Drosophila melanogaster: one gene and its partner. The protein of the gene in region 1 interacts with the protein of each later gene in a pairwise test. Each region holds a gene or a part of one and is shown in the gene's direction. Other genes may lie near its edges.

Region 1 (5,198 bases):
CTAATTTATCGACAAGACCGATAAGTCGCGACCGAAATGGTCACACTGAGCTAAATTTTTAAAATTGTGGACAATTCCATTAAATACTACAAGTTTTTTAGTTCGTTATTAATATTTTTTTATAAATTGTTGTACATCAACCAATTTAAATATGTTTGACAGTTCCAGATTTTCTGTCAGAAATCGAATCGAAACATCGAATGCTAAACAAATCAAGTTTGTGTTAAATGTTTAAAATTTTTAATGTTTGCGCCATCCACAAAGGAATTTGATTGTGACTTCGCTCTTTATGGATGAAAGTAAAAAATTCCTCCAGAACGTTGCCCATATCGCTGGCAAATTGGATCTCAACCACTTGGAAAGAACCACGATGGCCTACAAACGTTTATGTCTGGAACTAGAGTCCATGAGCAATGAGGTGACTCCAGCCGTTACTCCTCCGACTTCGGCTTCTGCTTCTCCGCCGACCGCGGTCTCCCCTAATGGACTCCGAGCAAGTGCCTCAGAATTCGTGCCCCAGGTGCCGGTGACCAGTGACCGGATTCCCATTGAAATGGACAATGATGAACAGGATGATGATTCGGATGACGATGGCTACGATGAGGAGCGCAAGAGAGCTGTGAGTATTGGAGATTTGGAGATATGTCTCAGTTTCTAACCATCAACACTATCTATAACACAAAATATTAATTTATCTAAAGATAAATCTACCTAATTTAGCCAAAGCCCGCAATATACGGCATCCGGTTTTATAACCATCATTACGAGTCCGACGACGTGAGCGAAAATCACTTGCAGGCGGAAAAGAAGCGAAAGTTGGGCTATAGGACTCCAAAGTTTCGGCCAAACCAGCCGACTTGCCGGTCCCCAAAGTCGGAAACGGACTTTATTCCCACTGCTAAGCCTCCGCCGGAATTGGCCAATGGACAGCCGCATTTCAATGGACCCTACATGCCGCTTCTGCAGCACCGAATCGCCAACGCAGAGGCCTACGGGCTCATCCAGGGTTCCGACGAGCGGAACAGCCTGCTCCTGGATGACATGGTTAAGCAACTGGCCCGCCTGGACAACTGTCCCGTCAATCTGAGTTCACTTTTCCCGAAAAAAGGTGACCAGAAACCAGAACCCTAGATCGCTCTGAATGTTCTGTAAAAAACTATGAGTTTCTTATTAAAAGGAGGCTTTGACTTAGTATTCGATCTGCTATTCAGTTTTATCATTGGTTGCATACGGTCTCTAAAACTTTTCAGCAGAGAACAAAATGGTAAAAAAAAAAATAAATAAATACAAAGCTGTAGATAACCAAAAAAAAAGGCGATAGCTGTCAATTTCTAAGGCTAGTTAGTTAGTAAGCCCTAATTTCCCTTACAGATTCCAGCTAAAACCGAGACGGAAGCTCCGTGCATTAAAGATCCCAAGGAGATTGAAGCAAAACCTGCTGAAAACATGGAAATTATTCATAAAACGATCGTGGAGGATAAAAAGCACAAAGATCCCAAGGAGATTGAAGCAAAACCTGCTGAAGCCATGGAAAGTGCTGCTAAAATGTTCGTGAAGGATAAAAAGCATATGGAGCAAATGTTGGCTCTTTCCACGATTCCACTGCGCATGGACCAACAAATCCAGTGCATCAAGACAATTCAGCAGGAGCTGCTTAAGCTTCACCTGAAGCAGGTGATGCTCCTCGACGGCTGCACCGAATTACTACATGAACTAAAGGCCGTGCAGCCCACTGATGAGAACGAGGAGATAAAAGTGTTGGAAACATTTCGTGAGGTCAAGTCGAAGCTATCGGGTGTATTTGAACACTACCTTCCCGCCCAGCTGAGCATACTGAAGCAAGAATCGAAGATATCACAAGTGTCCGCCGAAATAATTCCAAAATAATTTTATTACATCGATTTATAAGTTTAAATATAAAATCGTTAAGGGTTCAATATCTTAGCCAAAGATCGTTATCGATATTTCATGTCATTTGTAATATAGGTATCATCTCTATTTAAAAGCGGGCAAATTTGTAAACTTTCCCCAGCTGAAATGAATCCAACGCTTTCCCGGGGGGGCGCCCCATCGCGATTTGTGCGTGGTCGTGGTCGCGGAGGCGGAGCCTACCGTCCGTACTTCTACTTTCGGCGCAATGGACGTGTGATCCCAGCCGGAGGCAATCGACAACCCAACCAAGGGGAACCTGGAGCACCAGACGCTCCTTCTGTTCCGCCTGCAACTCGGCAACCCAGGGGCTGGAGCCGCACAGCCGGCAAGCGAGGACGCAATGCTCACTTGGACTGCAGCTTTCTGCGGCCGGAAAACTATGCCGCACCAGAAGACGGGCTCCAGGTGCAGAGCATTGCGGTGGATAATCCACGGGCTTATTCCGGCTGGCGACTGTACTTCTTGCGCGAGAAATACGAGGAGGGCAACGAACTGGCCACAAGGATAATGGCCGTGGAGGCATACTACCAACGTAATCCTCACACCTTCGATTTTGTGATGATACGGGATCGGGGATTCTTCCCCCTCTGCGCAGCAGGCATCAAATCAGATGCCCAGCTAAAGGAGGTTTGGCCTAGTTTGTCCGAAGACATCCGTGAGCACCCGCTTCGCACGCTAGGAACCCTGTCGTTGGCTATGCACACTGTGGTCGTCAATCACCAGCTGGACTGTAATGATTCCACCACAGCTATGGTGTCCACTCCGGAACAGTACGTCCTTCCAACCCCACGGGTACGCAAGATCTACGCACGACCGGATGATTTTGTGCCTGTGGAATCAATAGAAGGAATAAGCCATTCCCGAGTGGACACTTTGTTTTCCATCCGGGGTTTTGTGAGCAATGTGGGCGAGCCTAGCTACAGCCTCACGTGGCAAGCCTTTCGCTGCAGTCGCTGCCAGATGGAGATTGCCATGCGCCAACGGGGAACCTTCCAGCCACGTCCTTATCAATGCAAGCGGTCGGAGTGTGTGGCTCGTGACGAATTCGTGCCTCTTCGCAGTTCCCCATACACCAGGCTTTCAATCCGACAGATTATCCGCGTGGAGGAGTCCAGTTTGAACTTGGTCCACGACTTTGAGACCAGCATGCCTGCTGAAATGGACGTGGAGCTGCGACATGATCTAGTTGATGCTGTGCGTGTCGGACAGGAGGTCGTGGTAACTGGCATCCTTAAGCTGCAGGAATTGGGCGACGATACCACCACTGGAGACACCTCCAACCAGATGCAGCCCTATCTCAAGGCAGTCAGCATTCGCGATGCGAGCAGCATCAAGCGGGAGTTCAGCGAACGTGACTTGGAAGCGATTGTCATGATCAATGCGGAACCCAACAGCTTTAAGCTACTGGTGCAATCCATTGCCCCGGAGGTATACGGACATGAGCTACCCAAAGCCGCCTGTTTACTATCCCTTCTCGGCGGGAAAGGTGCGGAGACTGAAGCCATCAACGTGCTCCTGGTGGGTGATCCCGGAATTGGAAAGACCAAGATTCTGCAAAGTTGTGCTCAGATCGCTGAACGTGGTGCCCACGTGAGTGGAAAACGTGGGGCTCAATCCGCACAGCAACTGGGTGTTACGTTTGCTGGGCGTAACAAGCGTGTGCTACAAGCGGGTTCCTTGATGATGGCCAGTGGAGGCGGTCACTGCACCCTCGATGATGTGGATAAACTTGCCTCCAAGCAGGCCGTACTGTTGCAGTGCCTACAATCAGAGGAAGTAAATCTTCCACTTGCAGGAGCATTTGCCTCATTCCCGGCGCAACCTTCGGTGATAGCGTGCGCAAATCCACAAAGAGGACAATACGATGAGGGGCGCTACCTTCTACAGAATATTAATATTTCACCCTCTTTGCTGCGGGAGTTCCATTTGGTTTACATATTATTGGACAAGCCCTCGGAGAGAGATATGTCGCTGACTGCCCACGTAAGGGCTCTCCATGCGGGCGCTAGGAAACGAGCGAGAATTGCAGCCCGCTATGCTCTTAAGCCCAAAATGAGCGACTCCATGTGCGAGGTCAGCCTTAATGTGCCGGCAGCGGGAAAAGATGATGACACAATCAAAACGGAGGACGATAATGACAGCATTATGCAGCAGGATTATGATCTTGACAAACGTCTGGAGGTACTTCCGGAGGAGGGGGACTTGGACCTGCTCCCACCCATACTGATTAAGAAGTTCTTGTCCTATGCTCGCCAGGAATTAAATCCGGTCCTAAACGAGGACGCCAGCAATGCTGTTCTGCGTTACTTCCTTGAGCTCAAAGGAAGCTGCAATCTCGATGAAGACGTTTCCAGCCAGATTGGCGCAGGGTAAGTGAAATTTTTTGGTGACGGATTTAATTAAGTTATGTCTTTTATTCTAGTTATAAGTAATCTTTAAGTTAGGACATTGGGCTACCTCATAAGCTTGAGGAAGGAGGAGACGGGAAGCTCCAGAAAGATGGCCAGCAAGAAGGAGCAGAGATAGGACACGGTCACCGTAAAAAAGATGAAAGCAAACTGTAGATAAGATGAGAACAATTTGAGTTACATAAAATCCAATTCCTATTGAATGCCAGAAGTGAGCTCACCATCATGCCCGTGCCAAAATAAATGGGCTCCCGCACTGTGGCCAAGACGATTCTCGCCACAAGAAGGTGGACGATAAAGGCTCCATAAGTGAGGCGTCCCAAAATGCGGAAAATGGGCAAGCAGCAGAACTTACGGAAAATCCCTGTGAAAGAACAGTAAGATTTGCCAAGGATATACCAAGCATATCTCGCAGTTGATACTTACATCCCACTTTGCTGGCCATGCCCACGATGAAGATTCCCAGCCCGAAGCCCCAGATGTTTCGCTGCAGGCCGGCATATAATGCTCCCCAAATGGCCGACGGCGTCACGTAGTAGTGCTGGAAGATGGGATGAGCACTAAACAGCCATAGAATCCCCACTGGAATAAGTGTAAACCAAAGAAGCTGGAAGCTCTTTAACTCCCGTAGTTTGTATTGCTTCAATGCCAACTGATCGTAAACCAAAGCGGCCAGGACTCCACAGAAATAGCTACCGAAGTTCATAAAGGACGACGTGTAGAATTCGGTGAATTGACGATCTCCGATAAAGGAATCCTTCTGGGTTCTGTTTGGTAGATGGGTAGAATGATTGTAATCAAGTAGTAAAGTTTTTAAGTCCGATCACTTACTGTGGCGTGGGTACAAAAATGGGATAG
Region 2 (3,413 bases), 9.5 Mb from region 1:
GCCAGCGAATACGGAGTGCCCAGCACCACCGCCTCATCCTACGATCCCAGCAGCTGGGAGCCCATGAGCGGAGGTCCCTATGCCCGTTGGGACTCGCAGAACCTGGCCTACAGCTCGTACCATCCTAGCAGCTCGTCGTCCTACTCCTCGGGATCCTCGTCGGGATCCTCGGGTTCTTCGTCCAGCTACAGCTCGTCCTCCTAAACGGGGAAAGTCATTCGCCCAATTGTACATACCAAGGAATTTGCGATCCTTCCCAGGAAGGATGGCTGCGAGTCACACAGACCAAATGGAACCGGAACCTGCCCCAGGCCATAATTGTAGTTGTTAGGGTTAGGAACGCGAGAGTTTTAGCCATTCTTCAGCTCTAACCACATCCCCACTTAGCCTGATTTTACCATCTTCTTCATACCATCTTCTTTCTCATTGACTCTTCGTCCTTTTGCCTTCGTTTCTTTGTCACAAAACGACCAAAAACTGAATTTAATTAATATTTATTTAATTTATTAAAAATGCAAAAATTTAAAACATTCATCAACGTTTTTTGGTACGGAAATTGGTAAATTAAATAAGATATAATAACTTAATATTTATTATATTTTGTGCAAGGTCATTTGCAATCTGAGAATGATTCGATCTCGATCTAATTATGATTCGATCTTGGATAGATCGCGATCGTTGACAGCGGGCTTTTCTCTGGGTGTATATAATATAATAGAATTTTAAGTAAATTCATTGATGTGCCTTACTTATGAAGTGCTCTGGGCAATGGCAAGTAAATGAGGGGTCACGTAGCATAATAGTCAACTAAACGAGGTACTAACTGATTTTATAGTGTATGTTTACAGAACTCGCCAGCACGCAACTGCTGTGGGTGGTGGTAGTGAACCATTAATTGGCCTGAGACACGACAATTTGTTTTATGAAGTTGTAAGGAAGTTGCAAAGTACCTTAACTTAATGGAACTGACATCTGTGTTTGCTGCTTAATTGGCCAGGCAGAAAACATATGTTAGATGCAATGGGTATTTAAAGCCAGCAATCAGCCAATTTGAAGTCAGTGAAAGACTTGGTTCACAATGTTGGCTAGCATATGTATCCTACTTTTCATGCGATTCGCGCCAAGCTTGAGCCTCAAATCAACTAGAGGAGTTCATCAGTCGGATACGGAAGTGAGCAAGATCATGAGGTCCTTGGATGTGATACCAGATGTAATACACATCGGACCGCAGGAGTTTCTTAATGTGAGTAAAACACAAATAATGATCTCATAAAGAATTATTTAAGAGATAATATTCGGATATCTAAGAATTTGAATTCCAATTTAGTTTAACCAAAAAAATGTATGCTATGCCCAATTCAACAATTGTATTTCTAGGCAACTGTTCAAAATTAAATAATATACTTTTAATCATATTATGAAATTGAATTGCTCCCACAAAAGGTTACTTACCACGGGCATTTAGCAGCACATTGTGGAAAGGTACTGGAACCCATGCAAGTGCGTGATGAACCCTCCGTAAAGTGGCCCTCGGCACCGGAAAACTACTACGCCCTGCTGATGGTGGATCCGGACGTACCCAATGCTATAACACCCACGCACCGGGAGTTCCTACACTGGATGGTCCTCAACATACCCGGCAATCTGTTGGCCCTTGGGGACGTGCGCGTGGGATACATGGGTGCCACTCCGCTGAAGGGGACCGGAACCCATCGGTTCGTCTTCCTGCTCTACAAACAGAGGGACTACACCAAGTTTGACTTCCCGAAACTGCCGAAGCACTCGGTTAAGGGTCGCAGTGGCTTTGAAACCAAGCGGTTCGCAAAGAAATACAGATTTGGCCATCCGGTAGCTGGGAACTTCTTCACATCCCAATGGAGCCCCGATGTCCCATCCCTTATCAAAGCCATCTCGCACAATGCCCGTCAAGTAGCACACTTTTGAATTTAGAGTCCAGCTTCCAATAAAAATAATTCCAAATATATCTCAGAAGAAGCTATTGAAAGTATGTCCTTATAAGGATATTTAGGTCAGATTACAAGGACACCATTTTTGGAAATATTGGCTATCTATTGACTATCAGCCAGAAATGTTAGAATTAAAGTCGGCGTAGCCTTAAAATACGAAATTTTCTGGCACCTCAAATTTCATTTTAGTTGTTGCCCACTCAGCTAAAAATGTCCGATTCCACCGTGTGCTTCTCTAAGCACAAGATCGTGCCGGATATCCTGAAGACGTGTCCTGCCACTTTGCTTACGGTAAGCTAATACAAATAGCGCCTACAATCGTCCATGTCATTTTGTTGTTCCAGGTGACTTATGGTGGTGGACAGGTGGTGGATGTAGGCGGTGAATTGACACCCACGCAAGTGCAGAGCCAGCCAAAGGTGAAATGGGATGCAGATCCGAATGCCTTTTACACGCTCCTCCTGACCGATCCGGATGCGCCCAGTCGCAAGGAGCCCAAGTTCCGCGAGTGGCACCACTGGCTGGTGGTCAATATTCCAGGGAACCAAGTCGAGAACGGCGTAGTTTTGACCGAATATGTGGGTGCAGGTCCGCCGCAAGGCACGGGGCTTCATCGTTACGTCTTCCTGGTCTTCAAACAGCCCCAAAAGCTCACTTGCAACGAGCCCAAAATCCCAAAAACGAGCGGCGACAAGCGAGCCAATTTCAGCACCTCCAAGTTCATGAGCAAGTACAAGCTGGGAGATCCCATTGCCGGAAACTTTTTTCAGGCACAGTGGGACGACTATGTGCCCAAGTTATACAAGCAACTATCTGGCAAGAAGTAGTATCTTTCTCCTCATAATTAGGCTCCCAAATCCCTACAAAGCATGCTGTAAAGAAAAAGAATCATGTAAAAACAGATAAATTTCTAAATATCTATAATATATATTTAAAAAATATTTTTTTTCAAATCCAGTCCCTTTAATTACTCTATTACCAACTGGTATAATTTGCAAATAATATGAATAAATGTATAATAAATATAATGTATAATAATAATCTATAATCTCCGAAGCGAAACTTTAAACAAAGATAACTTTAATTATTGAGTATATTTTTTCCCAGCTGTTTACTAAACAAAAAGCTTCGAGCTTCGCTTTAAAAGTATGGCATCATGGCAAACTGGTTTCAGTTGCAGACCAACCTTATTCGAAAGCGGAGCTCCTATATATTGGTTTTCTCAAGATCTTATCGTCTACCGAATAATCTCTCCACAAAGATGCTGCGAGTGCTACTGCCATTGGTGGGCTGCCTACTGGCCGTTCAAGCTGGCTCCGTGGAGGAGGTTTTCAGATCCCACCAGGTGGTACCCGACGTTATTCCCGAGCCGCCGAACCAGTTGTTAAAGGTGGGGCCACTAACAAAAGCACACTAAAAAGATCCAAATATATAGAGGATATCTTT

What was found.
Region 2: the proteins of rec (region 1) and CG10298 interact in a two-hybrid assay, tested with the Drosophila melanogaster proteins (one large-scale study listed by BioGRID).

The regions. Positions count from the first base shown.
Region 1 is NT_033777.3:15,829,457-15,834,654, reverse strand, and holds the start of rec (recombination-defective), read left to right. Parts: upstream 1-2,022; 5' UTR 2,023-2,037; coding exon 2,038-4,301; intron 4,302-4,333; exon of another isoform or gene 4,334-4,385; coding exon of another isoform or gene 4,386-4,490; intron 4,491-4,561; coding exon of another isoform or gene 4,562-4,704; intron 4,705-4,766; coding exon of another isoform or gene 4,767-5,107; intron 5,108-5,171; coding exon of another isoform or gene 5,172-5,198. Other genes in the region: CG43317 (uncharacterized protein), read left to right, coding at 290-619, 721-1,131; CG43318 (uncharacterized protein), read left to right, coding at 1,262-1,264, 1,372-1,887; CG4576 (uncharacterized protein), read right to left, coding at 4,386-4,490, 4,562-4,704, 4,767-5,107, 5,172-5,198. UniProt on the Drosophila melanogaster protein: Required for meiotic DNA recombination in females. Probably not involved in DNA repair and recombination in somatic cells.
Region 2 is NT_033777.3:6,340,893-6,344,305, forward strand, and holds CG10298 (uncharacterized protein), read left to right. Parts: upstream 1-2,109; 5' UTR 2,110-2,177; coding exon 2,178-2,258; intron 2,259-2,311; coding exon 2,312-2,794; 3' UTR 2,795-2,907; downstream 2,908-3,413. Other genes in the region: Osi20 (osiris 20), read left to right, coding at 1-204; CG17917 (uncharacterized protein), read left to right, coding at 1,109-1,243, 1,444-1,944; CG17919 (uncharacterized protein), read left to right, coding at 3,229-3,357.